Cricetulus griseus: one gene and its partners. The protein of the gene in region 5 interacts with the protein of the main gene of each other region in a pairwise test. Links are inferred from orthologs where the notes say so. Each region holds a gene or a part of one and is shown on either strand. Other genes may lie near its edges.

Evidence for each region.
Region 1: the proteins of Atpaf2 (region 5) and Trim23 interact in binary tests that used the Homo sapiens proteins (3 or more experiments, as listed by UniProt). The two-hybrid records come from large-scale screens. The link is inferred for Cricetulus griseus from reciprocal best matches to the Homo sapiens genes ATPAF2 and TRIM23.
Region 2: the proteins of Atpaf2 (region 5) and Rad54b interact in a two-hybrid assay, tested with the Homo sapiens proteins (2 studies listed by BioGRID). The two-hybrid records come from large-scale screens. The link is inferred for Cricetulus griseus from reciprocal best matches to the Homo sapiens genes ATPAF2 and RAD54B.
Region 3: the proteins of Atpaf2 (region 5) and Sorbs2 interact in binary tests that used the Homo sapiens proteins (3 or more experiments, as listed by UniProt). The two-hybrid records come from large-scale screens. The link is inferred for Cricetulus griseus from reciprocal best matches to the Homo sapiens genes ATPAF2 and SORBS2.
Region 4: the proteins of Atpaf2 (region 5) and Pkp4 interact in binary tests that used the Homo sapiens proteins (3 or more experiments, as listed by UniProt). The two-hybrid records come from large-scale screens. The link is inferred for Cricetulus griseus from reciprocal best matches to the Homo sapiens genes ATPAF2 and PKP4.
Region 6: the proteins of Atpaf2 (region 5) and Rpia interact in binary tests that used the Homo sapiens proteins (3 or more experiments, as listed by UniProt). The two-hybrid records come from large-scale screens. The link is inferred for Cricetulus griseus from reciprocal best matches to the Homo sapiens genes ATPAF2 and RPIA.
Region 7: the proteins of Atpaf2 (region 5) and Rel interact in binary tests that used the Homo sapiens proteins (3 or more experiments, as listed by UniProt). The two-hybrid records come from large-scale screens. The link is inferred for Cricetulus griseus from reciprocal best matches to the Homo sapiens genes ATPAF2 and REL.

Annotation. Positions count from the first base shown.
Region 1 is NC_048595.1:322,464,240-322,468,557, forward strand, and holds part of Trim23 (E3 ubiquitin-protein ligase TRIM23), read left to right. Parts: intron 1-1,880; coding exon 1,881-2,015; intron 2,016-4,318.
Region 2 is NC_048595.1:125,715,929-125,720,246, reverse strand, and holds part of Rad54b (DNA repair and recombination protein RAD54B), read right to left. Parts: intron 1,391-4,318; coding exon 1,109-1,390; intron 1-1,108. UniProt on the Homo sapiens protein: Involved in DNA repair and mitotic recombination. May play an active role in recombination processes in concert with other members of the RAD52 epistasis group.
Region 3 is NW_023276807.1:40,730,557-40,734,874, forward strand, and holds part of Sorbs2 (sorbin and SH3 domain-containing protein 2), read right to left. Parts: intron 3,038-4,318; coding exon 2,923-3,037; intron 2,835-2,922; coding exon 2,706-2,834; intron 1,936-2,705; coding exon 1,735-1,935; intron 1-1,734. UniProt on the Homo sapiens protein: Adapter protein that plays a role in the assembling of signaling complexes, being a link between ABL kinases and actin cytoskeleton. Can form complex with ABL1 and CBL, thus promoting ubiquitination and degradation of ABL1.
Region 4 is NC_048599.1:115,554,421-115,557,831, forward strand, and holds the end of Pkp4 (plakophilin-4), read right to left. Parts: intron 3,365-3,411; coding exon 3,291-3,364; intron 1,890-3,290; coding exon 1,641-1,889; 3' UTR 889-1,640; downstream 1-888. UniProt on the Homo sapiens protein: Plays a role as a regulator of Rho activity during cytokinesis. May play a role in junctional plaques.
Region 5 is NC_048600.1:74,539,931-74,544,731, reverse strand, and holds the start of Atpaf2 (ATP synthase mitochondrial F1 complex assembly factor 2), read left to right. Parts: upstream 1-1,765; 5' UTR 1,766-1,889; coding exon 1,890-2,049; intron 2,050-4,801. Other genes in the region: Gid4 (glucose-induced degradation protein 4 homolog), read right to left, coding at 1,021-1,209. UniProt on the Homo sapiens protein: Plays a role in the assembly of the F1 component of the mitochondrial ATP synthase (ATPase).
Region 6 is NC_048601.1:62,414,000-62,418,317, forward strand, and holds part of Rpia (ribose-5-phosphate isomerase), read right to left. Parts: intron 4,071-4,318; coding exon 4,006-4,070; intron 3,340-4,005; coding exon 3,271-3,339; intron 2,601-3,270; coding exon 2,459-2,600; intron 1-2,458. UniProt on the Homo sapiens protein: Catalyzes the reversible conversion of ribose-5-phosphate to ribulose 5-phosphate and participates in the first step of the non-oxidative branch of the pentose phosphate pathway.
Region 7 is NW_023276807.1:83,034,206-83,038,523, reverse strand, and holds part of Rel (proto-oncogene c-Rel), read right to left. Parts: intron 4,238-4,318; coding exon 4,166-4,237; intron 2,727-4,165; coding exon 1,960-2,726; 3' UTR 1-1,959. UniProt on the Homo sapiens protein: Proto-oncogene that may play a role in differentiation and lymphopoiesis.

The DNA of each region.
Region 1 (4,318 bases), on a different chromosome or scaffold from region 5:
TTTGAAAAGATCATGGGGTTCTTCTTACAGGTTTCTTATATTTTCATGGGCACTGCACACATGTGGTGCATAGAGAAATATGTAGGCAAAACACTCATGTACATACAGTTTTCTTTTTGATTTTCCCCACTTCAAATATTTGTCATTTAATTCTTGGTCATGTTGATGCTAAGTGTTCTAAATGTGAAGTTATTAGTAGATGTATGCAAATAAAAATTTGAAAATTCAAACAAAAAAGTCTATGTATGTAGCTGGGTGTGGTGGTGCACTTCTTTATCCTAGCACTAGGGAGGCATAGTCAGGTTGATTTCTGTGAGTTCAAGGCTGACCTAGTTTACAATGTGAATTTCAGACTAGCCAAAGCTATACATTTAGACCCTGCCTCAAAAATGAGTGAAGTGTATATCAAGCCAAAGTAAAAGTGTAAGTAGTAAGTGATAGATGACAAATAGGTAGATAGATGGATAGATGGCTGTAGATAGATAAATTGGGAGGGGCAGGGGGGTTGGGTGGGAAATATCAAATTGGGTGCTCAAAACATCCAGCAGAAACTACTGACTATAGAAATCCTAAGGCAACCAGCTAGAGTCTCTGGCAGAGCAGATTGTCCTCTCAGATGAAATTTTCAGAAAAAAAAAAAAAAGAAAAACACAAAAAACAAGTAACAGTAGGAACATGACATAGTCAAACTGGGGACTTACAAATACTCAGCAGAAGCTGACTAGGGAAGCTCCATGAGGCAGCCAGCTAGAGTTCTTGCTGGAATTCCAGGCAGAACAGGGCCTTGATTGAGTCTTCTGAGTAAAAGAAAAAATAGCCACAGGTAGAAATAACATCATCAAATCAGGTGCTCACAATGTCCAGCAGAAATCAACTGGAGAAGTTAATGCAGCCAGCTAGAGTTCCCAATTGAGCTTTCTCTCCATGGATGAGCTTCCTGTGGCTGAACTTCATACTTTTCTTTCTGACCGTAGGCACTTTTATATCATGGGATAAAGCAACAATAGTAACATGTTCGGAATGTTTGTTCTCTTGCTGTTTGTAAGGACATGATGTTTGCTGGCTAGTTTAATATCAACTTGATAGGGCCTAGAGTGATTTTGGAAGAGGGAATGGCAATTGAGGAAATGCCCTCACTGGATTGGCCTTAGGGTCACCCTGTGATGAATTTTTTTGATTAATGATTGATGTGGGTGGGCCCAGCTCATCCTGGGCTGGTGGTCCTGGGTGCTATAAGAAAACATTGAGCAAGTCATGGAGAACAAGCCAGTAAGCAGCATTCCTCTATGACCTCTTCATGAGTTCTTGCTTCCAGATTCCTGCCCTGTTTGAGTTCCTGCCATGCCTTCCCTTAGGGATGGACTGTGATGTGAAACTGTAAGCTGATATAAATCCTTCCTCTCCAAGTTTCTTTTGGTTATGTTGTTTTATCACAGCAATAGAATCCTATCTAAGATATGATGTTTTTACCCTTGATCTCTTTTGCTGTTCCCTTTCTCGTCACAGAGTTAGTGCCAGACAAGGGGCTTGGAGGACACTTAACATAAACAGACATGGCTCAGAAGTAGGGAAGCAACCCCAGTTCCTGAGCCAGCTTCTCAGTGAGCTCAAACAACACATGGGTTTACCAATGTAATGTACTGTACATCTCTCCAGCACGACAAGCAAGTACCACTGTGCCTTGCTTTTTACATAGGTTCTGAGGATTGAATTCAAAGTTCTCATGCTCATGAGGCAAGCCTTTTGCAAACTAATCTGTAGCTCCTTAGCTTCTAAAATTTACTTTTAATACTGTGATATTACATGGTCTTTATTGAAAGTTGATGGAGTCTCCATTTTTAAGAGGAAAACTTTATAGGAAATACCATCTTGTTTTCTAGGATGATTGCAGAGTTGTCTTGGCAAAACAAGAAATTACAAGATTATTAGAAACACTGCAGAAACAGCAGCAGCAGTTTACAGAGGTTGCAGATCACATTCAGTTGGATGCCAGTATCCCAGTCACTTTTACAAAGGTGATGTATTGCCCTTGTTTTTACCTATGCTTTCTACAAATTGCAAGTAGCATGAAATGTAAATCAAATTAAGGAGGACACTAGGGAACTCATGAGTTGTAAAATTTCAATAAAAACTTTCATCAGTGGGCAATAGAAACAAGTGAGATTAAATCTCTGTTCTTATTTCACAGTTTAAGTAGAATTGTACCCAAGACATTTAGTAATTTTATATTTTTATACTTTACTGTCAGGTATCCAGCTAATACTCAAATTTCTTAGATTCTTTTTGGAAAACATTCTGAAGGAGTGGCCAGTGCTCTTAACCGAGGAGCCATCTCTCCCGTTCCTGTCTAGCTATCTCTGCAAGCCTCCATTTTCAGTTCTTGTGGTGATATACCCAGAAATAAAAGTTAGGGGTCATGTAGTAAGTTTTTTTCAAATTTTCCATTAAAAATTTTAAATTTTTTTTTGTTGTGAGAAAGGTTTGTATGTAGCCTGTGCTGGTCTCAAACTCACTATATAATAGCTAAGGATGACACTGAACTAATGATGATACTCATGATTCAACCTCCAGTGCTGGGATTATAGGCTTGTGTCATCACACCAGGTTTTTGTCATGCTGGGCATGGAACCCACAGCTTTGTGCATGTTTTGCAAGCATTCAGCCACATATGTTATCAGGAATTTCTGTGGTATTTTACATATGGTTAACATATCATAATCTTACTGTTGTTGTACAAATATTATAATTTCTCCACATTTTGGATAGTGGCCATCTTAACCTGTATGACATTTTATCTTAACTGTGGTCTTATTTTGCATTTTGTTTTGGTTAACAATGTTTCTTTCGTATACTTTCCTGTTGTTTGTCTTGAGTAACTATAAGATTTTGGTTCACTTTTTTTGTTGTTGTTTAAGAGTTCTTTATGAATCATGGGTATTTACCAGTCTCTTTTCAGCTTTTTTTTTTTAATTTCTAGATATTTTACTTCATTTGATAAATTTCTTTTTCACTATGTTGATTATGACCTATTATGCAGAAAGGTCTTAAATTTTATGTAAATTTCTTTACCTGTTCTTGCTGTGCGCGCGTGTGTGTGTGTGTGTGTGTGTGTGTGTGTGTGTGTGTGTGTGTGTGTGTGTGTGTGTGTGTGTGTGTGTGTGTTTCGAGACCTGGTTTCTGAAATTCTCTCTGTAGATCAGGCTGGACTTGAACTCACAGAGATCTGCCTGCCTCTGCCTCCTGAGTGCTAGGATTAAAGGCGAATGCCACCACTGCCAGCCTGTTTCGGTTTTGTTGCCTGTGCTTTGGTATCATATCCAGGTATTTATTGTCAGGTTCAAGGTATTGAAGCTTTTCTTTGTATTCTTCTAGCTTTATAGTTAGGAGTGCTTTCATTTAATTCATTTTGAGTTAATTTTTGTGTGTGGTGTAAAATAAGCGTACCTGTTCATTCTTTCACACACCAATCTTCAGTTTATTCATTACAGGTTTGAAGACCATCTTTTTTCTTTGTTGAGTCATCTTTGGAATCCGTGGTGCAGATCATTTGGTTGTATATGTGGTGGTTTACATTTGGGCACTTTACTCGGTTTGTTTGGTTTTGCGTCAGTCCACATGTTTTTCATTTCTGTGGCTTTGTAAAATATTTTGATGTCAGAAAGTGTTAGTCCTCTGACTCTGTTCTCTTCAAAATTGTTTTAGCTGTGTTCCTTGAGGCCTATAACATTTTTTTCTTCCCCACAAAAGTTGTCTTTTTGTTTTCTAATCTGTAATTTGGCATATATTATACAAATACTCTACCATTGAAGAGTACTTTCACTCCATGTCATTGGGATTTGGGTAGAACTTACACTGACACCTGAACAATATTGATTTTTCAGATCTATGAACATGGAATGCCTAAGACGTCTTTATTAATTTTTTTAGATTTATTTATTTTATGTATATGATGCTCTATCTAAATGTATGCCTTTATGCTAGAAGAGGGCGTCAGATCCCACTATAGATGGTTTGAGCCACCTTGTGGGTACTGAGAATTGAACTTAGGACCTCTGGAAGAGCAGCCAGTGCTCTTAATCTTTGAGTCATCTTTCTAGCCCCTTTGTTAAGTGTCTTGTATGTGTGGAAATATAGCAATGCTTTCCAGTTTTTTAAAATTACTTTTTTTTGTGGCTATAATATTTTGACTGCATATATGTATGTGCACGTCATTTTTGCCTGGTACCTGATGAAGCCAGATCAGGATGTCAGATTCCCTGGAACTGGAGTTACAAACTGTTGTGAGCCTCTATGTGGATGCTGGGAACTGAACCTTGGC
Region 2 (4,318 bases), on a different chromosome or scaffold from region 5:
AATCAGATGATGAATAGAGAGAATTCTGTGGTCTCTCACAGGAAGGAACTACATTCCTTCCTCAACAGCAAGAAGTGGTTATAAGTTGTATCATTAAACTTCAGTTCCCCAAAAAGCGCTCAGGGAGGAGCTAGAATGGCCAGGGTAGAGAGTGAGGTCAGGAGGACTTATCCAAAGCTACAAAATTAGCATGTGAGGTAAGCCTCCTGGCAAAAAAGAAGGGTGGAATCCCCAGGCACAAATCAACAAGAACTGGCAGGACCCACTGGCAAAGAACGCCAGAACTGAGAGGATAACCTTTGGCTCAGTGAAAACTACATGCAATAAAATGCATTCCTGAGGAAGCTCAAAGTATGCAAATGGGCCAAAAAGCCTGTGACACTTGAATATAAAAACATTGGTCCTTTGTGCAGCATTTGCCATAGGGCTTCTAAACTTCTCCTCCTCCTTGGAAGTGTACTATTTACCAATAAACTGTTCCTGTTGCAGCCATGCCCCTGCTCCATGAGAACCTGGAAATCCCTACAGAGCCACGACAAATGCCAAGACCAACATATCACTGGGATTACAAATGTTAAATAACTCCCAAAGGTATTTGATTTCAGCATTATTCTTTATGTCAAAGGGTATATCTGAATATAATCTTCACCTACAATTTTCAACCTCTGCCCCCAAGACAGGGTTTCTCTGTATAACCACCCTAGCTATCCTGGAACTCACTCTGTAGTCCAGGCTGGCATTGAACTCACAGAGATCCACCTACCTCTGCCTCCTGAGTGCTAAGTTATGCACCAGCTCAAAAACATTATTTTAATTTTGTATGTGGGTCCCATGGATCAAATTCAGGTCTTGATTGGGGGGGGGGGCTCTCCACTAATCCACCTTTCCAGTCCCTCACCTGAAATTTTTTTCATTTTATTTAGTTTTTAGTTTTGATACAAGTATCAATATATAATCCACACTGGCTTACTGGCTTTCAACTCACTATGCAACCCAGGCCTGATTTAACCATTTGCAAATTTAAAAAACAAAATTTAATGTCAATTCACATGTCAAAAAATCTTTGGACAATGGAAACAGAAGGTTCAACTTATCTTTAAAACCTTACTTGGTGTGCAAGGGTCATAGCGTGGTTTGCAGTTTTGCCAATCATCCCGTCTATTTTCCTTTGACTGGCTTGACTGATGGACACTTTTGAAAGGGTTAGAAAAGCATTTCCTGGCTGCCTGAGAACTTGGGACCACAGGACTTCCACTTCCATGCTGAAAACACTTGCCACTGTTGAAGTCATCAGGAGAGACCGAACCCAGGATCTCTATTTCTTTTCCACCAATCACCAGTGTCTGGCCCTCTTCTACGTTTTCAAACTCTTTGAATTTATAGCTGATGCCTTTAAGAAAGAAAACAAATTAATTGAACTGACATTCTAAGAAAATTTAGCAGTAAAATAGTCACCTTCCCATAACCATACAGAATAAACACTGTAAATAAAATATAAGTACAAGATAAATTACATTATATATCTCATTAACAAGAAACATAATTTATTATTCTGATTTAAGAGAAAAACAAGGGCCAGAAGATAACTCAGATGAATAAGCCTGATGCCTCAAGTTCAATTCTCAGAGCCAACATTAAAAACAGGTGGGTTTGGTTTTTTTTTTTTTTTTTTTTTTAGTGCAGTGGTGTCTATAACCTCAGCACTTCTTCAAGTTTGGTTTATTATTTATATGAGTGCTGCCCTATGTGGGTGCTAGGAACTGAACTCAGGTCCAAGAGAAGCGTAGTATGTACTCCCAACCAGTAAGTACTCTGTCCAGCTCATTTCCCAGCATCCTTATGGTAAGATAATGTTATGTCCAAATTCTGAACCCCAAAATCACCAAGAAACCTGATCCAGTGCAAATGCAAAGAGTCTTTAATAATTTAACAAGTTAACTGTATTAACTTGTTTCCTCCATCCATCCGACACATCTGGTGGATCAAGAAGGGCCCAGAGGGACCAAGGGGCGGGGAATTTATTGGGGTGCAGCAAGAGGAGTGTCTGGGGACTGCAACGGTCTCAGGATTGGTGCACTTCCAGGCTTGGATGACCTGTCCTGTGTTGATTGGTAAACTGGTTGCTGTGGCCTATAGGCCATCCGAGGGCAGTACTATGCTCTATAAGCCATTATTAACTAAAGTACATCCAGAGCCCACCAGCTAACTTCTGATTGGTTCCTTGCCACATGGAGATATCTGGCTTCCTAGTGACTACAAGGTCAGGCAAGGTCAGGAAGCTCAGCACATGTTGCTGAGTCAGACATCTTGCTGGGTATTTTCTGTAGCCTGTCATGGCTGCTAAAGCAGGGGGGCTGGGTGAGAGGGTATAGTCCCTTCAATGGGAGATTTGGAACAGGAGAATTGCTTAAAAGTCTTGAGCAAGCTAGCCCAGAGTACACGACTCCCAAAAGTTGTCCTTTTACCTCCCTCCCACCACTGTGCATGCTCTCTCTCTCTCTCTCTCTCTCTCTCTCTCTCTCTCTCTCTCTCTCTCTCTCTCTCTCACACACACACACACACACACACACACACACACACACAATAAATGAATGACTAAATAAGTTTTTAAAGGAGTATTTAACACAGCTATATAAATTCACTACACTTTTGGAGATATTGAAATATAAAAGTGCTACACTGGCACTTCTTATTAGGGAAAGCAATACTTTTTATTGTTGAAAATACACTATTTTGGTGGCACATGCCTTTAATCCCAGCACTCGGGAGGCAGAGGCAGGCAGATCTCTGTGAGTTCGAGGCCAGCCTGGTCTACAGAGCGAGTTCCAGGACAACCTCAAAAGCAATACAGAGAAACCCTGTCTCAAAAAATAAAAAAAAAGAACACAAAGAAAAAAGAAAGAAAATACACTATTGAAGTCTATAATGATTGTTTTGGTTTGGTTTTTTGCCATCTTTGCACTGGGGGGGGAGGGGAACAAGCCAAGAAAATAGTTCAGCAGACTGCACACAGTCCTATGTTGTGAACAAACTAGAGACACTGAATGACATCTCTATTTCTATAAAGAGCTGGAAATGTGATAGACAATTAACTCTCCCCACAACTAGTACTGTACTGTCCTCACAAGAGAGCCAAATTAAAATGCAGCTGTGGCAAGAGGCTTAGATATTCCATTCCAAGGTCTACCTGAAGGGACCAGCTCCCGTTTTAGCAGTCATGACTCAACATGTGCTTGCCTGACCTTGGCCCTCCTGCCCTAGTCACTAGGAGGTCAGATACCCTCCTCATGTCAAGGAACCAATCAAAAGTTAGCTGACAGGGCTGTGCTTTATGGCTCTGGGTGTGCTTTACAGTACAAGTGCACAACAGTGACATGCAGAGCATAGCAACCACCCTGGGAGGGCATATAGGCCATAACAACCAGTTGACCAATCAACACAGAACAGGTCATCCAAGCCCAGAAGCGCACCAATCCTGGATACTCCCCATGCTCTACCCAATGAATTTCCTGACTTGCAGCTTCTCCCGGTCCTTCTCCAGCCACCCACCTCAATGAATGGATGAAGAGCCCGAGTTAATGGGGTTAGCTCATTAAGCAATAAAAGACTCTTTGCTTTTGCATCAGAATGGGTCGCTTGGTGATTTGGGGGTTCAGAATTTGGGCACAAAATACCTTCTGAATAATAAAAAATGAAAGCAATTAAGGAAGTGTTTAGGCAGGTGGTGGTGGCACACCCCTTTAATCCCAGCATTCAGGAGGTAGAGCCAGGTGGTTAGATCTCTATGAGTTCGAGGCCAGCCTGATATACATAGTGAGTTCCAGCACTACACAGTGAAACCCTGTCTTGGAAAAATAAAAATAAGTGTTTGCTCAAATTATTAATAAATCAGTGGACAATTATTTATTTTTTTCTCCATGTGTAAGGAGCTGAATAACACAGATGTGTCTGCTTAAAAAATGAGGTCATTAATCAGATAAATGAGATTTTCGACCCCCATGACTACCTATCAATTGTATTAAACTATTAAATGCAGTTATTATGCTACTACAAGGAAAGGAATAGTGCTTATTGCAAGCAGTTTAGTTTTTTGAGGTTGAGTTGGTTTAGCTTGTTTTTTGTTTGTCTTTGTTTTTGAGACAGGGTCATTAAGAACCCCAGGCTGATAATTTGTTGATACCCATGGAAGAGAGCTACCTGCCCCTTTATGAACAAAAACAAAGGAGTGGATTGGGGAAGAAGGGGAGGAGAGGGGGAGGAGAGGTGGGAGCAAGAGATGGGAGGAAAGGAGGGAAGGGAAACTGCAGTCAGGATGTGA
Region 3 (4,318 bases), on a different chromosome or scaffold from region 5:
TGCAAATATCAGTTGGAAAACAGGAGCTGTGCCTTGTTGCTGCTTTTGTATCTCACTATTTAAAAGACCTATTTCTTTTTATTGACCAGGGCAACACTGCAGGAATTTTCTTCCTTAAGCCAATGACATCATAGGATAGATAACCAGTGGAGATGAAACTAGAATTTCTTTCAAATTATGGAAATAACCTTTGATTGTTTTTGAAACAGATGAAGACAATTAGTTACTAGTGTAACTAATACATTCTTCTATTAAAATTTGGTATTTGTACATTCCTTGATTCAAAATGTGGTATTACAACAACAATAACAAAACATGAATGGCATTTAAAACAGATTCAGAGCAAAGACCACAAACGCTGACTTAAAATATTTGCTTGCCATTGTTAATTACAGCATATGGGAGAAGTTCTTCAGTGCTAAGAAAGCATTTGTAGATGCATGATGTTCTCTTCTGAATCAGTTTATTTAAAAGTTCAGTCACTCAAGAGTCATCTGATGGTTCTTTTATGATAGATGGATGGTGGGTAAAACATGCAGATGGATGAAGATTCTTTTCCCCCCATTATCAGTAGAAACTACTGAAGGGAGGATGTTGATCTCTGAATGTTAAATTCTAGAACCTTTATGATCAAACTGGTTCAAACTGCTATCAGTTATCCAGTGATAGACACTTTAGGGTAATTAATTACCCATGATTAGAACCCATTTTTCGAAAAGGATTAGAATGAATAATATCAAATACTAAGACTTTTTAAAGGAGGAAAATATCTCAACTGAGATATATTCATAGGTTATTTATTTACTACACAGAGTGGCTTAGGTCCTGGAGACACTGGCTGAAGATGACCTTGACTTCACCCTTTCACAATGTTAATAATCTGTTTTTACACATCCTTGCCTTGATCTCAACTAAAACAGTTAATGTATTATACAACCCAATCCATCCTTTTTTCACATTGGGAGGCATTTGACAATATTTTGGAAATAATTCACTGGTGATTTTTTATATTTTAATCACTGTAAAGGCGAAAGAAACCCCTACATATACCCCTAAAATAGCTTATAATTCAACAGAAAAATGAGGAAAAACGTTTTTTTTGTGATTAAGGGAAGTAGGAGGATAGCTTTAATCTAATGAACCAATTCAGGAAGGAAAGACCTTTTCTAAATTGTATTGAGGAAGATAATCAATCATCTTCAGCTGTCAGCTTAAGTGAATTAATGGAATTCATGGCCCTAAAACTAATGAAAAAGAACTGTAACTATTTATAATAATCTATCATAATTTCATGCAAAATTATAGGCCCTAAATTAAAAATGTCTTACGCTATGTAGAAAATGCCCTCAGACTTTCATAGACTATTGTACACCTAATAATTACATAATGATACACAGTTTAGGGGTAAATGTATGTATGTGTGCCTGGGTAATGTATATACACAAAAATACAGAGATGTATCAAGAAATGCTGATGATACTAACATTTCCTTTCTCTTCATGCACTTAAACTTGAGAACCGAATTAGCAAAAATGAACACTAAGCCTTTATCCCAGCATCTAAGAAAGGAAAATTAACTTACATTTTCTGATCTGGAACTCACATATATGAACATAATATATGAGTTTGTTTCTTTTCAATGATATGATGGTCTGATGGTCCCCCAAATCACCCACTGATTATGATATCCCGAGATCCCAAATTCAGAGTTAACATGATAGAATGATTGCTTACCTTATTGGAACTTAGGCTGTGAATTCTATCACTAGAGTAGCTGTGGGGTAGAGGAGGGTCAGGGTAATCGTCAGCACCTTTTGTGTTCTTCTTGATGACTTCTACATAGGAGACAGGGAAGATGCCTTGCCTGTTGCTTCCCGGGATTTTACCTTCATACCAGTTTTGATCAACTCTTTTAAGAAGAATAATTCTATCACCCTGTAACGAGCATTGGGAAGTATGTTATAAGTAGAGACACATAGTTTGTCAGTATGAATGCATGTTAAACCTTTCATTTGTGACATTAGAGGCCTAAGGATGCTTGGTTAATGGGAATGGGATTATACATGTTTCATACTGGTACAAAGTAAAATGATCTTTGGAAGTTATTTCAAAAGGCAGATGGTGTGAGAGATGCCATCTCAATGACAGTAGACTCGTCTACCAGAATCAGTGTGATGATCCATAGGGAGAAGAAAATGTCTCTGAAATGGATCATGGAAGCCATCCTCTGGAAGGCATGAAGTGGAATGACATACCATTTTCCTTCTTTAATTTGCATGTCCTGACAAGTGACAAAGAGTGAATAAAAAGCATGAGGCAAAGATGGTAACCTAGAATTTCCATAGCTGTGGAGTGGGCTAACATCCCCTTGTCTCACCAGGACAGGCTAACACCAGCATCCATTTTAATTGGTGAGTGGCTATGCCATTCTGGCCATTTGAATAGAAATGTTGGATTTTTGCAATAGTAGGCATTTCTAATCACTATTATGCTTCCTGCAGCAGACAGGCCAATGCCAGATAACTTTATTTAACTCTCTTTTTCAAAACTACAAAAGGGCCAGAAGAGAGTTAGCAAGATGTTGTTAAAGAGCAAACCCAGAAGGTAACAGGTGGAAGGATGTTCTAAAAAATAAGCTTATCTAACTTGGGTTCAGAATTGTACAGTCTGTGAAAACACCCCAGTGAAGAACACATCTAGGTTACCTTTCGCAGGGAGAGTTCCACGTTTGTGTCTGCATTGAAGTTGTATTTGGCTATGGCTTCGCCAATCTCTCCAGGCTGGACTGGGGGTGGTGGTCTGGCAGGCTGTGCTTTTTCTGGAGGTGTTAGTTTCTATAATGGAGAACAGTTTCAGTTGGTTCTGAAACTTGTGATAACCTTTGGAACAGCATCCTTCTGGAGATGAGGAGAAAGGACGTACCTCTACGTATGAGATTGGAAAGATGCCCACTCTGCCGTAGTGCTCCCCCTCATACCAGTTCTGGTCGATTTTCCTGAGGATGTAGACAGTATCTCCTTTCTTAAATGATAGCTCCCTGGAAGAGACGAGACCAATGGACACTTTCTAGAGGAGCAATAATTAATCCTATGATCAACATTCCATATGTATCTGAGGAACACACTCCCAACATGAAAACATCCGCCAAGCTCAGTTAGATAAGGATTTTCCTTACAAATTTCTGGCAGTCACTTATGTAATCTTGGAAATGAATTTGAAGAGCAAGTATCTGGATCATACACTGTATAAACTGCATCCTTCAATGACATGATATTTGAAAGAGGTGACAGATTATTATGACCTTGCTAGTCTACAGTCATATATAATGTTTATAACCTAATATTTTGGCTTGTAGCAGGAGCATTTCTATACATCAAATTAATATTTTGGAACATGTATGGAAATTATAGGCAACTAATTTTTTCTTTTAATACAGATATATATCTTTTCTACTTAATATAGGCATGAATTTATAATCTTGGGTATATCCAGTAAAGAGAAAGTTACATTATTCTCCAGTTTTCAAAGCTCTGTCCCTCTCATGTCTGAACTAGAGCCCCATTTTGATAAATTTGCTGTATTTTTACTGCATTTTAAAATACTGGCTACTGGATCATCGTCACTGCTCAGAGTCATCTGACACAAGCGACCTGTGTGCCGGACCGAGTTCAGTGCCGGGATCCAAACACTGAACACCCAGAGGCAGCCCTGCCTCCATCCGCCAGCCCAGGTAGGCCAGGAACTGTTTCCAGGTCGTTGTTGCTGCTCAGAGTCATCTGACACAAGCAACCGGCATGCTGGACCCAGTTCAGGGGCGGGATCCAGCACACCGAGGCCTGGTGACAGCTCTGCCTCCAACTGCCAGCCCCGGCGGGACCCAGCACACCTGAACATTGCCGATGCCCGGGTAACAGTGACACCTCCATCCACGAGAAAGAGGACCGACATCAGAGTATTGGATCTGTTTGCATCTACCAGAAGAGAACCTTGGTCCCACACCCACCAGGAGAGCAAGAAACTCTTGCTACACCCACATAATAATCAAAACACCAAACATACATAACAAAGAGAAAATATTAAGAGCAGCAAAGGAAAAAGGCCAAGTAACCTATAAAGGCAAACCTATCAGAATCACACCTGACTTTTCCTTGGAAACTCTGAAAGCCAGAAGGTCTGGATTGATATTATACCTACACTAAAAGACCATGGATGCCAACCCAGACTACTATACCCAGCAAAGATTTCAATCATTATAGATGGAGAAAACAAGATATTCCATGACAAATCAGATTCAAACAATACATATCCACCAATCCAG
Region 4 (3,411 bases), on a different chromosome or scaffold from region 5:
TGATCTGCATTAGTTGCAATAAACGCTGCCAAAACAGTCACTAAAAGAAACAGTTCCTGTCAGTCAGCTCTGGAGGTCCCAGTTTTTCTGCCTTTTAGCAAACAGCCTTTACTTAAACCTAGATACCAAGGAACCAGGTTCAGGAAGGTGAGATCAAATAGGTGTGAAGTCCAAAAGTCTGTGTCAGTTCCTCAGGAACATCCAGTGACTTGTCATATAGAAAGCTGTTTTCTCTGTCCTGCCAGGGCACATGTGGCAGAGAGCATGACCTGTCAGCCATCTTAGGTGGTCTTTGCAAATGGTGAGCTCAAAAAGGCTCACCATTTGTAGGATTCAGCTACTTTCCTGCCTACATTGGACCTATTTTACTTTGAATCCTAACCTCGGGCTGTTTTCAACCCAGGAAAGTACTGTTTCTTGGGTCTCTCTATAGTCACAATGCTGCATGCTGCAGAGTAACATTGGGACATGCCTATAGACCTCAAAATGCTGTCTATAATCCAACAAGTACTGAGCACAATAATTATTTAGAATCAGTGTTGGCTTCTAACATTGATGCCAAGCAAGCAAATGCCCAACTCTCCATATGTAATGATTTAGTTCCAAAAAAATGATGCTGTAAGTGGTCCTTACCAATGTAGTATGGCCAGGATGCCAGATGTAAATACCCTTCGGTGAAAAGAGATGTTAAATACATCTAGAAGGTTGGAACAAAGCAGAACCCACTAAAACTGGAGATAAAATTAAAACAAACAAAAACTCCAAGAAATACATAGACTAAGGGGCAGTAAGGTAGCAGCCACATCTTCACTGCCCAGTGTGGCCCACCTCATAAACAGACTTAATCTGTTTTCCATATCACACCCAGAAAAAGAGGACCAGACCACATTTCAAGGATGAAATTTCCACATTTATTATTCTTCCATGTGCATAGAAAATGGCAGTGAAGTGTCCTGTGAAAGAGGCGGGATGAGCATGGCGCTGCTGTCACACTGAGCTTTGTGCTTCCAGGGGTCACTACTCACTGAAAACAGGATGTCAGAGTTTGTTGTCAACTGGTAATAGTTCCTTGGGCTTCCCACTTGTGTTTTAGGCTGTCAGTTCTTCAAATCTCTTTTCAAACGACACACTGCATTACAAATGATGGCACTTAACCAATGTGGCATTTCCATATTTACACCAACAGAATAAATTTTTACAAGACATAATAGCATACAATCTTGACATTTAGTAATAGCAATAAAACATGAAGGGCATCCATTTTATTATTTTTTTTCTGTACAAACTATCTGAACATAACTTTATTCACATTAAAAAAATCATCTGTAATTTGATTTGACCTACACATACCCCATCTCATTTCACCCATTTCTCAAACCTCTCATCACATCACCCATACCTTCACCACTAGAATCTACAAGTAATTAGACCTAACACCTACACAGAGCTTAGAAAGTCCTCTCCCAAGGGTTTCCTCACTTCCCTGAAAATTCCTCAAAAAAAAAAAAAAAAAAAAATACACTTCACTCATTCCTTCCATTTCACTTTCCACATTTCATCATCAAATCAGCAAGACGGACTTTTCACCTCAATCCAAGCAAAAGTTAGCAAGAAAGAGTCCCTCGCCAGGCGTCTTGATGCTACACCCACGAGTCTGGGGACCCTGGGTACTGTTCGGCTCTGTAAGAAGGTCGTTTAGTGGAATAAAAGTCTACGTAATTTGTGGTTGATTTCAGTCCATACTGTGTTGAGTAATCAGTAGAAGCTGGAAAGTGAACTCGGTCATCAAAATAAGGGTCTTCATAGCTACGAGGAGACTGCAAGTACAACCTGTATGCATCCAAGGTCTTCCTGGTGGAGTCATCTTGATAGTACAGCTGTTGGTGCTGCTGGCAAAATGGAAAGTCGAGTAAGGGAGAGCATTTTAAAAACACACATTGAAAGAACACTGTACATCAGTTTCACATTTTACAGTTCTTTGTGGGCTAAGGGTGGTGGTGGGGGCAGCTATTTCAGGTGCACACCATGTTTACTCACAGTAGGGAGGATTTTAAATTATGTTTATAGGCAAGCTGGCTTTGTTTGTTCAAGTCTTGCCCTGAGGCCTCAGGAGAGTTTAGGCCCTCAATGGGAGGTGGCAAGGGATGTGGAGGAGCCTGTTATTTAGGGACCAAAAGAGGAGGCAGCTTTTGCACAGGAAAGTTAAGCATATCATGGACATTCCTGAGGGCCGGGGATTTGGTTTTAGATATTCAGATAACTATAGGATTGTATGTGAATCCACTGCTTAATTTTAAAAGACGTAACATAGTGTGATGAACTCTGCTGTACAGTTTATTATTAGAGGACGAGCAATCTCAAGGCAGGAAGGTAACAAAATTAGCAGACACATGAGCAAATAGCATTGTAGAGGCAAAGACTTCCAATAAGGTCCTTTGAAGAAAGTGAAGTACCACATGTTATCCACACAGGGAACCCGGACCCCATTTCCTTTTGTGCTGTCTTAGCTTTGACCTCACCACGATGCCCTCAAATTATCACAGCTCTTATGTCTGTCTGCATGCTGCCCAAATTCGCCCCCTGCCCCACAATCTTGGTAAGATTGAAGAATTTACCATATAGGTATTGGCATCTGACTTTAAACTCATTCTAACATCATGGTATTTCAGAGTTAAAAAATATACTTAGCTAACTATCTCCTCTTTTAAAAGCAGAGTTAGATTTCTCTTGACTTAAAGGTTATAGTGTCGATAGGGTCTTAGAACACTTATTTGGAAGGACACAATGCAGTTCTGACTGGGAAACCTTAGCTTTGTGGTTGAAAGGGGTGTGTGTGGCAGTACAGTTCCAGGGGCTAGCTCGGGAAGACCCTCTTAAGTGGGCTACAGACTCAGGGTTTTCAAAGCATGGAGCTTGGATGAGAAGGAAGCCATGGTGATGGAGGATGAAGTGTCCAAAGAGAACAGGAGGCTGCGAGGTTTGCTCACCAACTTTGTCTTACCCAGAGAATAGAAGAGACTTTCTAGGTTAATGGAAAACAAAAAAAAGTCAGAGAAGGAAACTACTGGACAAAGAGCATGCACTAGAGGTTTCTCGCATCCTCGTCAGAGGCATGCAGTCTCAGAAGCACTGATGGAAACAGTTTATCTGAACCACACGCAGTCTGAGAGGCAAAGCTCCTCAGGGGAAGCTCCTTTGGCCCTGCATCGAGGAGGCCCAGCTCTCACCGGTGGTCCCCTTACTGTGTGACTGCTAACCAGCCTTCTGTACAAATGACATTGCAAATTCACCTGTAGCCGTCTATTTTGTTCTCTTGCTGGTGAGGAATAGGAACTGATGTAAATTGGTGAAGGTTTGCTGGAGCCTGTAAGAAAATAGTTTATTAAATTAAAACTAATGATTATTACACTG
Region 5 (4,801 bases):
GTTCAGGGACTGGCAGCCGGCAGCCAGTACTCAGATATCCAGGTCAAATAGGGGGAGGTACGTGGACACAAAACAAAACTGGGTTAGATTTCCCAGTACTTGGGCATCTGAGGCTGGGAGGAAACTCTGGAGCTGTGTAGATAAAAATCAGCAACACTGAAGCCAGCAATAGCAACCAGCTAGACCAAGGTGCGAGGTCTGGGGAGAGGCCAGGGGCACTGCCTGGGATGGGAAGTGGCCGCGGAGCAGGGTAGAGTAAGAAGCCTGGGGCAGGAAGCCTAGAGTGGGGACAGTTGACAGGGCTATGAACTGACTGAAGTAGGGTTTTGGTACTGGAAGGCCTCAGGAGGCAAGGTCCTAAACAGTAAATGGTGCAACTGGAGATACCTGGGTGTGAGTACCTGATCTTTGGGGGAGCCAAGGGCTAAGGAATGCCTTGGGTTGTCTCAGCCAACAGAGGGAGGTTGTCCACTCGGCCCCGCCGCCCCGAGGACCGTAGGTTGGTTGAGTTTTCCAAAGGAACAAGGTCCCTGGCTCTCAGGATGGAGTGGTGGTAAGAGGAAAAGCTTCATTTTGGGAGAATCTGACACTGGTCGCCACCGGGAGGTACTGAGTCTGGGGGAGCCAATGGGGAGTTCTTCAGGGTACGACAGGGACTGATGGGAGGGCAGGCTGGTGTAGGAAGACAGGACTTGGGAAGAACCGACCCAGGTTAAAGGACAGCTAGTCACAGGGGTGCTTCCGGATCCCAAGCGGGCGGGTCAAAGGCTCCAAGTGTGGGACAGTCTTTGGGGTCTGTCTGAGGCTGGCCGCTACAGGCTCTGGGTCTAGGGGTGGGTTAGGGCTAGGGTTCGAGAGTGTGACATCAGCTGGGTAGGTCCCGGTGGGAGGCGCCGGGTGCAGGAGGCCCCGGCAGCGAGGGCCTGGTCCGCGGCTGAGGGCTCGCGGAGCCCAGGGCAGGCCTGGCCCGTGAGCGCCGCGAGGAGGCCCTCGGGCCCGGCCTGGCCGCCCGGCGCTCACCTGCAGCACCACCTCTACGTCGTACGAGTTCCCCTTGCTCTTCTGGTGGCCGCGGAACTTGGAGCCGCTGTAGAGCAGGCTGGTGGCCACGCCGGGCTGCTGGGTGTTGATGGGCGGCGGCGGGATGAGTGAGGCCGCGGATGTGGCTGAGGCACCCGCCGGCGGGGGACACTCGGTACGGACCGGCATCGCGGGGTCCCCCGGAGCCAGGGCTGGGGGGAGGGGGAAGGAACCGCCGCCGCCGCGCGGGAGTAGAGGCTGCGGGGAGGGCGGACCCGGGCGCGCACGCGCGGGGGAGGGGCTCCGGGAACCACCCCGCCCGCTGCCGGCCGACCAAGGGCTCGTGTCGCCACCTGGACCCCGGGACCTGCTAGCAGGGTTGTCCTGAGCTGCGTCCTCCTCCCCACTTGCCCTCGCGCGCACACACACTTGCACACACACATTCACACACTCACACACACATTCACACCCTCACACACATACACACATTCACACATACACACAAACACACACACACACACTGCGGCTTCCGATTGGCGCGGGAGCGCTAGAGAGGCGGGAGTAAGCGCGCGCGGCGCTTCCGCTTATTGGTAGGCGGAGGGAGCACGTGGTGTGGTGCGCGAACGGCCCTCTGGGACTTGTAGTTTTTTCCGTAGTGCGGCATGGAGGGGGCGGGGCGAGCACGCTTGTGATGCTGATTGACGGGGAGGGGGGCGGGGAGAGGTGCGCCGAGTGCGCGCTGTGGCGACGGCGCGCCGTAGGTGTCATGAGGAAGATGGCGGCGTGCAGAGGAGGCTGAGGGATTCGAGCCCGTGGTGAGAGGTTTCCGTACAGTGTCTTCGCTTTATTCTTCTCCTCTGTTTTGAGGTATGCGTCCACCCAGGCCCTTGGGCGTGATGTGGCGGATCTGCCCCCGGCTGAGGGACCGGGGGCGCGGCCTCTTGAACCGGCCTTCCAGTGACCCCACCGGCTCAATGTGGCCAAGGCCAACCCCGCGGCCTCCGGCCAGGGCCTATGTACCACCAACAGGTGAGGCCCGGACATATGTTACCTTTGGTCAGGAGCCAAACCCTGGCTCACCTGGTGGAGGATTTCTGTGGTGCAATGGGAGGGTGACTAAGGCAGGGTTCAGGCCCATGATATTTAGAGCAATGGAGTTGTTTCATGTGGGAAAATGATACCCAAACCAAACCAGTGCGGGGATGACCTTAGAGGGCACAGCGAGATATTTGGCTCTTGTGGCTTTTCTAAATTTTCTTTTTCTTTGTTTGTTTTTCGAGACAGGGTGTCTCTGTGTAGTCCAGGTCTTGGAACTCGCTCTGTAGACCAGACTGGCCTCGAACTCAGAGATCCTCCTGCCTCTGCCTCTGTGCTGGGATTAAAGGCGCGCAGGTGGCTTCTTTGATTTCAGAAAGGAAAATCTAGGCTTTAAGTCAGGACTTCGAAGGTCACAGAGCAGACTGGTTGAGGTTAGTGGAAGGCAAAGAATGGCCTGACCGCCTTGTGCCTCCAGCATAAGACTTGGCACAGAACGGGCAGGCCTTAAGCCTTCCACCTCCACACACTTTCCTTGAGGGTTTGCAAGCCCTCTGTCCTAGTGCAGCGCTACAGCCCCGGCGTTCTCTGAAGCCTTCTCTAAGTGCGCGTTCAGGCCATGCTGCTTTCCCCTACCAAGGACTGTCATGAGCCTGAAAGGAGGTTATTTCGTTGTTGCTAGAGAGAGAGTTTATGAGTGGGGTTCACTTCAGTGAATGAAGAGTAGTGACAGCCTCCTTTCATCCAATGAGCTGTTTTCTGTTGAGGGCATGCCGTCTCACCTGAATGATATTCACTGTCAAATGAAGGATATGTTACACCCACTAAACAATAGTTTTAACATGCCGTGATATGAGAAGTACTAAGGATCTGAGAGCGCACAAAGAATTCCCTTTTTTTTTTTTTTTTTTTTTTTGGTTTTTCGAGACAGGGTTTCTCTGTGGCTTTTGGAGGCTGTCCTGGAACTAGTTCTTGTAGGCCAGGATGGTCTCGAATTCACAGAGATCCGCCTGCCTCTGCCTCCCAAGTTCTGGGATTAAAGGCATGTGCCACCAATGCCCGGTAAAGAATTCCCTTCTTTCTTGAGCATGATTGAAAGGGTACTTAATTGAAAGGGGCTTGACTGAAAGGGTACTTAAATTGGGGCCTAACAAATAAATGAAGGGTTTGGTGAAAAAAAGGAGTGTAGCATGTCCAGAGGTGACAACAGGGTGTTAGAGATCTTGCTGAAACATGCCCACATTAAGAAACAGAATTCCTAGCTGGAGAGGTGGCTTAGGGGTTTAGGGCACTCACTGCTTTTCCAGAGGACCTGGGTTCAATTCCCAGCACCCACATGGGAGCTCACAACTGTCTGTAATTCCAGTTCCAGGTGATCTGATTGCTGTCACACAGACATACATGCAGCCAAAACACCAATGCACATAAAATAAGAATAAATAAATTATTAAAAAAAAAAAAGAAAAACAATTCCATAGGTAGTTTGGCACTGGGATAAGAGTACAAACTTGGTGTCTGTTGTTGCTAAACTTCTGAGGTACTGTGGTCTCAGGCATGTATGATGTTGCTTTCTTTAGTGATCTGAAGCATAAGATTGCCTTTAAAAATTCTTTAGGCTGTAAATTCCATATTTTTCATTTGTGTGTGTGTGTGTGTGTGTGTGTGTGTGTGTGTGTGTGTGTGTGCGCGCGTGCATTCTTGCTTGCCATGCACATGGAGGTCAGAGGACAGCTAACAGGACTTGTTTCCATCATGTGGGGTTCAGGATTGAACTGAGGTTGTTGGGTTTAGTGGCAAGCATTTTTACATGGTGAGCCATTTCAATGGTCCAAAGTCCATAATCTTATATAAATGGGAGAGGAGATTGGATGTAACAGGGAGCTGAGTTTTCATTTATTAAGACCCAAACAATGACCTAGAAGTGGACCAGGAAGAGACAGTTAAGAGGAAGGAGGAAGCTGAATGCAGTGTTGTGGTGTTGCATATGTTTGTGTACTAACTGCTCGGGAGACTGAGATAGAAGGATTACTTGAGCCCAAGAGTTTGAGGTTAGGCTGGGATATAATAGCAAGACCTCAACACAGGGCGGAGGGGGAGGAGACAAGGCTTGACTTATATACACCTTGCTCTCACCATGCCTCATTCACTCATTTATTTATACATTCCTATTTTCTTTCATATTTGACTACTTACTATATGCTAGATAATTCTAAGAGCCAACTGGTAAGTCTGTAATGCAAGAGAAAAGATGGCAGGTCAAGTGCCTCCATATCCCTTTGCCTATTTAGTGAACGCCTGAATATGTTCATTTTCTTGTGCTGTGCCTCCCTAGGATATGCTCTGCTCTCCTTGTCCTCACCAATTGTGAGCTTTTTGTGTATCTTTGAAGTAGTGTAAATTATACCCCATTGGGTTCTTCTTGGTAAAGAGGTAAAGACTCTGGTTGCCACACTGACTGGGCTTGGTCTCTTAGGCACTGCGACACCATGGAAGGTTGTCTGGAGAGGAGGGGCTTTTGAAGGGCTAACTGGGGGTGGGGTGGGGTAGGGTGGAGGAGGAGGAGTGTAGTGCAGAGATCCTCCTGTTCTGTTAGCTGCCCAGAGGGGAAGGTGTTTTGGAGAAGCAGCATATGAGGCTGAATACAAAGAAGTCAAAGCTAGAAGTCCTGTCTCTACCATTTACAAATTGCCTTCTGTACAAGACAGCTCCTCCAAGTCTCTACCACTTCAGAAGCATTACTGGCCTT
Region 6 (4,318 bases), on a different chromosome or scaffold from region 5:
TAAAAGGACAGGGCAGCCGGGCGGTGGTGGTGCACGCCTTTAATCCCAGCACTCGGGAAGCAGAGGCAGGCAGATCTCTGAGAGTTCGAGGCCAGCCTGGTCTCAGAGCAAGTGCCAGGATAGGCTCCAAAGCCAGAGAAACCCTGTCTCGGGGGGGGGGGGGGGGAGGACAGGGCATCTGGGCAGTGGTGACATATGCCTGTAATCCCAGCCCTCAGGAGGCAGAGGTAGTTGGATAGGAGTCTGAAGTCAGTCTGCTCTACAGAGTGAGTTCCAGGATAGCTGGGGCTACACAGAAACCCTGTCTCAAAAAAAAAAAAAAAAAATTAAAAAGGGGGGGGGGGAGAGAGACAGACAGTCAAACAGGTATGGGGATGGAAAGTTTTAGCTACAAATCCAGAAGTCCTCAACACGATTGGACACTAAAGAATAGGATTGTTTAACAATAAAAAATATTGACAAACATAAGTGAAAGGTTCAGGCTTTAATGCTCATCGGCAATAAAGAGACAGACCCCACCCCCTGACAACAGTCAGCACGCACAAGAAAACGTGCTATGTCATCATCACATCACCCACCACGCATGTGTGAGGACTCTGTGCATGAGTGGAAGCTCAGCGCGCAAGCGCAGTCTTCCCTTTAAAAGTTCCAACTTCCCTGCTACTCTACTCTACTCTTTCTTATTCCCTCCCTCTCACCTATGCGCCCTCTCTGCCTCTCTATGGGACTGGCTATGGCCTGTTCCTCTTCTCTCTTTAGTCTCCTACTCTCCTGGCCCTAATAATAAACTGGTTAACACGTCTCATCTGCCTCTTTTTCTCTTTTTCTTCAAAAACATAACATTAAGCATAGGCAAGACTCCTCTGCAGCCTGGAGTGGAGTCCAGTTAAAACTATACAAAGGTAAACGAGGTGTGGTGGCTTATGTCTATAATCCCAGCACTTGGTTAGGTAGAAGCAAGGAGATCAGAAGTTCAAAGTCAACTCCAACTATATAGCAAGTTCAAAGAAGCCTGAACTATGTACGGCCCCTCTCCTCAAACAAACAAAAATCAAGGGGAGAGGGCTGAGGCCTCGGCGAAGGCACAGTATAACCAGTTCTCCTTTTGAAGAAAGTCAAGAAAGCATGATCATTTCTTTTTCTCTATTTCCCAATTTTTTCTCATAGCTACATACATTTCAGTTTGGTTCATTACTTTTGGTTGTGTATTTAAATGCAAAAGAAAAAATTATTTCCAGGCCACAGCTATAAACTGATGAGAAACAACCCCACTGGGGTGCTGTGTGTTCCCCTCCCCCAAGAAAGTCTACTTACTGATACATTTAGGGTAGAAGGAGAAGGCAGGGCATATAGCTCAGTGGGGGAGTACTTGCCTGGTATTTCAAAAAGCCCTGGGCCTAATTCCTAACACTGAAAAAGAAAAAAAGGAAGGGAGTGGTGCTGCCTTGAGCAAAAAGTTCCTGGAAAGATCAGCATCTTCCTCCAGGCTTCTGCAGGACATTAACCAGCTGGAACTTCAATGGCTGGGTGTATGGAGTCTAGACTGTTACTCCTCCAGAGACAATTATCTTGAGCATCTACACCTTTTGAAAGGCAAAAAAAACCTTTGAAATGTAGACAATAAGAATGCTACCAGAGTCAGAGTGGTAGTGGTACAAGCCTTAAATCCCAGTGCTCAGGAGGCAGAGGCAGGTGGAGCTCTGAGAATTTGAGGCCAGTCTGGTCTACAGAGTTCCAGAACAGCCAGGGCTACACAGAGAAACTCTGTCTCAAAAAACAAAATAAAACAAAACAAAAAAAGGATACTACCAGATAGTGCTGAGGCCCAGAGCTAAGATTTCCCCATTTTACTGTGACCTGCCTACCTGGTGTTTCCAATGTATTTGAAAAGTGTCATTTTGTGATCTTCTTTGTTTTATCTCTGTACAAACTTAAAACTGTTACCACATTGGTGGCACACACCTTTAATCCCAGCACTCGGGAGGCAGAGGCAGGCAGATCTCTGTGAGTTTGAGGCCAGCCTGGTCTCCAGAGCGAGTGCCAGGATAGACTCTCCAAAGCTACACAGAGAAACCCTGTCTCGAAAAACCAAAAAAAAAAAAAAAAAAAAAAAAACTGTTATCTCACTGGAACACTGGAATGCAGAATTTGGGGTAACCTAGATCTGTATTCCCAGACCATCACTTATGCTCTTTGAGATGAGAGTTGTACTCTTACAGGTATAGCCACAAAAAAGCTGAGAGGAGAGAGGAAAATATCACACCAGGTAACCTAAAAGAACTTTCTGCCCCAAAGAGCTTCCAGAAGACAGACAGACAGACTGACAGAAACACACACACACACACACACACACACACACACACACACACACTCTTACGTTTCAGGAATCTAACTGCCACAGAAAGGAGGACAGGAACACACTGAGCCAGGGTGCTCGGAAACCTCCCTGGCCACTTACTGCCTTGTTGACAGCCATTCGAAGTTCTACCTCGCCCCCAAACTTCTGGGTCACAGCTCGGCTTACTGGGACATAAGCCATTGGGATGACCTCAATAGGGATCCCCTTGTGCCACCGATCTCCAAGGTTCTTTGAATCTTTCCTGGAAAGAATGCCAATCAAATTAAGTAAGTTCAACGTGCAACCAAATTCAGGCAAGAGGCTAACTAGACAGCTGGAGGGGAAAGGAATCAGGAACAGTACAGGGGGCTTCAGAAGTATGGGCTGCTTTACACTAAAGAGAAACTTGGACAATGTGGCAAAAATGTTAAAACCTGCCCTGCTGGCTTGTTGACTAACCTAGGTTTTTCCTTGCAGCTATGGTATTTCTTGAGTAAATACATATGCTGGTATCTCTTCTAGCATGCTCAGCATAGCACCCCTCAGGCGACTTGGGGGAAAAAAAAAAAAAAAAACAGCCCAGAAAGACTGAGCACAGACAGCACAGTCACGTGTGGCTTAGCCTGACCCCAGAGGAGGAGGACGAGCTGAGTCACTCACTGCCTGTGGAAGGGCTGGCCTGCTTCCTGAGGCTCCCTCTGAAAACATAATGAGTGACACATGCAGACTCGCTCTGCCCACAGGGTGACACTGTTTCCTCCCCATCCCCAAACCTGAGTGCTGGGATAATTAGCAGGAGTCTCTGCCTGGACTCCTAGAGAACAGGCAGGCAGTCCTTCCTGCATTCCGCTACAAGCTTTTCTCTGTACAGGGGATGAGACTTGGAAACCCATAATCCTTCTCAGCTGCAGCACAGAGCCCTGGAACGGTACCTGAAATCCGCGATCACAATGAAGCGACTGGCATAACCAGCCACAATCTTCTCCTGGGTCAGGCAGCCTCTAACAGGAAAAGAAGAAAGTGGACATTAGAGTGAGATCATCTTAATTTGGGGACTAAGGTCAGACACAGGAATCCCAAACATGCTCACTTAGAGAAATTTGACTTCTGTTTTAAAGAGCCACCCTCAATCCTATCGTGCTGCTTTCTAGTAAATGGAATACAAATACATTAGCTTGTGTCTGGTAGAAACCTAGGAATTGGACAATGGTTCCATTCAGGCCAAGCACATCCCTTCTGAGATATGTCTGAGAGGCACTGTGTTGGGGAGACATCTCTGAACATGTCCTGAAAAGACTGCCCTGTGGACTATGTGACAGCACATAGCTCAGACCCTGAATTGTCTGGCCTGTCTCTATTGCTCCCTAGGTAATTACTTCACACCTGTAGCCAGGATAACATAAAACATGATCATTCTGATGTTTCCAAATAAAGGAAGAGTTCCCCAAATGATCACAGACTCCAGAGTTTTAACACAAAAGCCACAGACCTAACCATCTAACCCAAGAATAATCAGAAATTCCAGGCTTGCTCAGAGGCATACGGTATCTTGTACTGATAAGAAGACAAACTCATAGGTATCCAGGACAACTGTTTACTGTCCTCCATTTCTGCCTTGTTAAGGATTAGCTGAGAGTCTTTTAGCAACCGAGTCCCACAACACTCACCCACCGCCCTTAATGAGATTGAGCTCGGCATCCACTTCATCAGCACCATCAATGGCAAGGTCAATCTGTGGAGAAGGAAGGAGCTGCTTGAGCTGAGATGCTGTGCCAAACCTTATCAAGCTGTAACAGCTCATCAGGTTCTCAGAGCTAGGCCCAGTATTTCCACTCAACCACCCAAGAGACTAAAAGGTACTTTGCTGAGGTCACAAGAGAAAGGAGCCTAAGACACACACTGTCCAACTCTTACCCACTACATTTGCTTCCCTTGGTCTGCTTGAACAAAGTGGAATTGTTAGCATGCATTTCCAAAAAG
Region 7 (4,318 bases), on a different chromosome or scaffold from region 5:
GCAGCAATGCCATTAGGAAAGTAGAGTGTAAGAGAAGGCAGATTACATGAGCATTAAGGTAGCAGGAGAGAACGAAGTTAACACTGGTACTGGTGAGACTACACACAGCCCTAGAGATCTGGGTTAGGAAGCAAGAGGACCCTGTCCATCACAGACACACTTAGTCAACTGATAACAGATTGTGGACAGGGAAGACATGTAGAGGAACACTGATCAAAAAGACCTGGGACTTGACAAGGGATGGGAACTAAACCAAGAGATGGACAAGGGAAGGAGGGACACAGAGGTGACAGGACAGAGGCACAGTGCTTTAAAGTTAAGGAGTGAAAAGAAGGGGCATGGTATGGGTAGGGTTTGTTACTTTGTGGGATGTTTTCACCCTTTCCTTTTAATCCCAAAAAGATATTTGTTCTGTTTACACAATGAAATCATGAACTAAGTAGGGACATAAGGACACTGGCAATGGAGGAAAGATGTAGTGCACAAGGTGGAGTTTGGGTAGGAAGGCCCATTCCCTCAAAACCAAGTGAAATACAAATGCAATTAGGGAGAAAGGGGGAAAACATGGCTGAACACATTTTAAGTTATAAAATGAGTTCTGTGATCAGTAAACAGTACCCAAAAATAAATCACCATTTGAAAATATGCTAAACACAGATGTAGATGTACCTTAGTTCAACTTAGAGGAAAACTGTTGTGTCTGAGTTTATCAGTGCCAACTAATACAAAATTACTACAATTAGTCTGATCTGGACATGGAGCTCAATTGGTAGGCACTTCTCTAAGCAAAGCCCTATCACTGATACCCCAGAAACTACATAAACTTGGTGTGGTGGTGCACATTTGTAATCCTAGCACTTCTAAGGCAGAAGCAGGAGAATCTGAAGGTCAAGGCCATCTTTGACTACATAGCAGGTTTGAAGCCAACTTGAGAGATGTGAAACCCTGTCTCAACCAAGAGTTCAAAAGAGGTGGTTAACTTCAAATAAATATTGAGGAAAGATCTTCTAGATTTGCTGATGTATTGACAGATTTAGGAGATGAATCAAGGGCGACATCAAGGTTTTTACCTAAGCAGCTAGAAGCACGGCATGACAATTTCCAGGGCTGGTGAGACTGAAGGACAAGCAAGTCTAGGGGATAAGTTCAAAACTCAGGCTTCAACATATTGACCTAAAACTTAAATCTTGTTATTTTTTCTTTTTCCTTCTACAGGGGGTTGAACATAAGGTCTTGGAAACATTAAGCAAAGTCTACCACTGAGTCACAACCTTAGCCTTTTTTATCTTAGAGACAAGATTTTCATAAACTGAAAGCTGGTATTGAACTGACTATGTAGCCCAGGCAGACCTTGAACTTGTAATATTAAGGGAATCTAATACAGAAAGGCTCAAGAAAATATCTTTTTCTTGAAAATACAGATATACAACTAATTTCTTAAGTAACTTTAGAAGTATGAGTCTAAATAATAGAAAATAGAAAAAAAAAACCTTCCATCCCTTGAAATCTCTCTCTCTCTCTCTCTCTCTCTCTCTCTCTCTCTCTTCTCTCTCTCTCTCTCTCTCTCACACACACACACACACACACACACACACACACACACCTACCTAAAAATACCAAGAAGCCCCCAAAAACCCCATAGGGGTCACTTTGGCCTATGGGCCTCAACAATAATGAGTTTATTTCACAATGGCATAGCCATTACATGTTTTACCTTAAATCTGCTTGAAAGCAAATATCAATTCATTTAACTAGTACATTAATACATTACAAAAGACACACAGCTTGTCTTGAGGAAACTTGAAAGAACAGTTCACACCAAGCACATGTACTTTAGGCATCTCTCAAAGTAAAAAACAGTACAGCTCTTTAAGTTTCTAATTTTGAATGTTCCCTTTATATTCTATACACCTAAAGTTTTAATAGTTTTTTTTTAGATTTAAATCCTACAGGTTACATTTAAAGAAAACCATATGCAAAGGAATCACTCAATTGCTCACTTTGCAGAGTGTCAATACTTGAATATTGACTGCTCGGAACAAAATTATGACTATTTGCATCATTTGATGGTCCAGGCTCATTTATCAGGCCATTTTCTACACAATTGAAGTTTGATCTATCAAATGCATCTGACTGTGCAACAAAAACAGAATTAGAACTGGTGCCTGCTGACATATTGGCAGAAGACATCTGATGTAGTTGTCTCAGGTCTCTTTGGTCTAACCTTGAATTACATGAGGCATTTTCAAGATTGATGCTCATAAGTCTTGGATTATCAGTGTCCCCCATGTTATCATTGCTGGTTGTCATCACATTCACAGGGCGATTAGATAGCATGTTGACATCAGAAATACCATATAAGTCAGCTGGTGACATGGATAACGCTTCCATTCTAGCTAGGTCATCAGTATAAAGGCAAGCATTAGAAGCACTTAAATCACTCACACTAGACCCTTCTAGGAACGGAAGGATACTTTGTGAATTAGAGGGAAGTGTTCCTGTTGAGAAACTACTCAATGTGTTTGTATTGGCTGAGTGTGAGGTGGGGTGGCTCACTGATGACCAGCTTGAAGGTGGAGAGACCACTGAGGCTATGGCTGGTGGGTGATGTGGCAATCCACTTGAGATGGGCACAGATGAAGAATAGTAGGGTTCAGTTTGACTTGAAACTCCTGAAGGCCTGGGCATTTCTGGCATAGGTGTACCATGAGAAAACAAGTTTGATTCTATAGAAGAAAAATGTATTTTATAAATTAAGATGAACAAATAAATGTAAAGCATTATTTCTGAATTGAGATTATAAAAACACACTAAAAAATTTCCAGGGAACTGATACATTTCAAATAAAAAAAAATTAAAGCACAGAAATTATTACATGAAATCAAAACTAAATTCATAACATGTAAATTGCTTTATAAACACATGAAAATGATTTTTAAAAGTTATCTTGGTATATGTAATTTTCTTCTAGTTAAATATGAAAATACAGCTTCTTGAGTCATATAGGTGCATTTTAAAACATAGAAGATAAATATTGGAATTTCAGGAAATAGGTATCCAACGGCCTACATCATGTTATAGTCTCTACTTTCAGGAGAAAATGGAGAGATGGAGAAGACATTCATTAGAAAAAACTGAAAAATACAGTTACTAAGACTAAGATATGACCCTAAACTACTATAAAATTCCCTATCATAAAAACTTATTTATTGACATATTACACAAGTACTATGTGAACCAGGATAAACCAGGTTAAACCAGGATAACCAGGATAAATTTAAGGAAAGGAGATGGAAAATTTGTCAGGGGCTCATAAAATATCTTCTATCAAAGGCCAGATAGTTTTAAGATTCGTGGGGTGAGCAGCCTCCACTGGAATTATTCAGCTCTGTTGTTGCAGTAGAAGAAAAAAAAAAGGGAGTCTAGGTCTGGCATGGACTGTGTCATGGTCAGCATGCATGAAGTCCTACTGCAGCACTATTAAAAAGGCAACAAGAGACATTATGTAACAAAGGAATGCAGTTATGTTCAAGTGAAACTTATTATAAACAAGTGCCTACTATATCCACATCATTTCTTCCATGATACAGTGCAATTAGTAAAATTACTAGTTGTGGTGGTTTGAATAGGTATGGCCCCATAGACTCATACATTTTGAATACTTGGCTCATAGTGAGAGGTATTAAGAGGTGTGGCTTTGTTGGAGTGGGTATGGCCTTGTTGGAGAAGTGTGTCACTGTGGGAGTGGGCTGTGAAGTCTAATATGCTCAAGCTACACCCAGTGTGACACCCAGTTGCTTCTGCTGCCTGTGGATCAAGATGTAGCTCTTTCTCCAGCACTATGTCTCCCTGCACACAAAATGAAGATAATGGACTAGACTTCTGAAACTGTAAGCCAGCCCCAATGAAAGGTTTTCCTTTATTAGAGTTGCTGTTACCATGGTGTCTCTTCACAGCAATAGAAGCCCTAACTCAGAGACTAGTGTATGAACAAATGTAATTTCTTGAACAATAAATATAATTAGTTTCCAACCCAATATTCAGAGGCACGGAGACCAGCTCAATTCAATATTGAAAGCATGAGAAAATTTGTAGGAAATAAAAATATTTAAAAAGCACTTATTCCTACAAAGTGGAATAACAGTATTTAATAGGGATAAAATACCTTTTTTGATGAATCTTCCTTCTCCAATTGACCCCAGGGGAGCAGTTCTTGGTTTCTCAGGAAAGTTAGCTGCTATGATAAAGTTTTTCTATTATTAATTGTAATTTGAAAAAGTAGTTTATAATTTAAAAACTGAAAAACAGAATGAAGCAA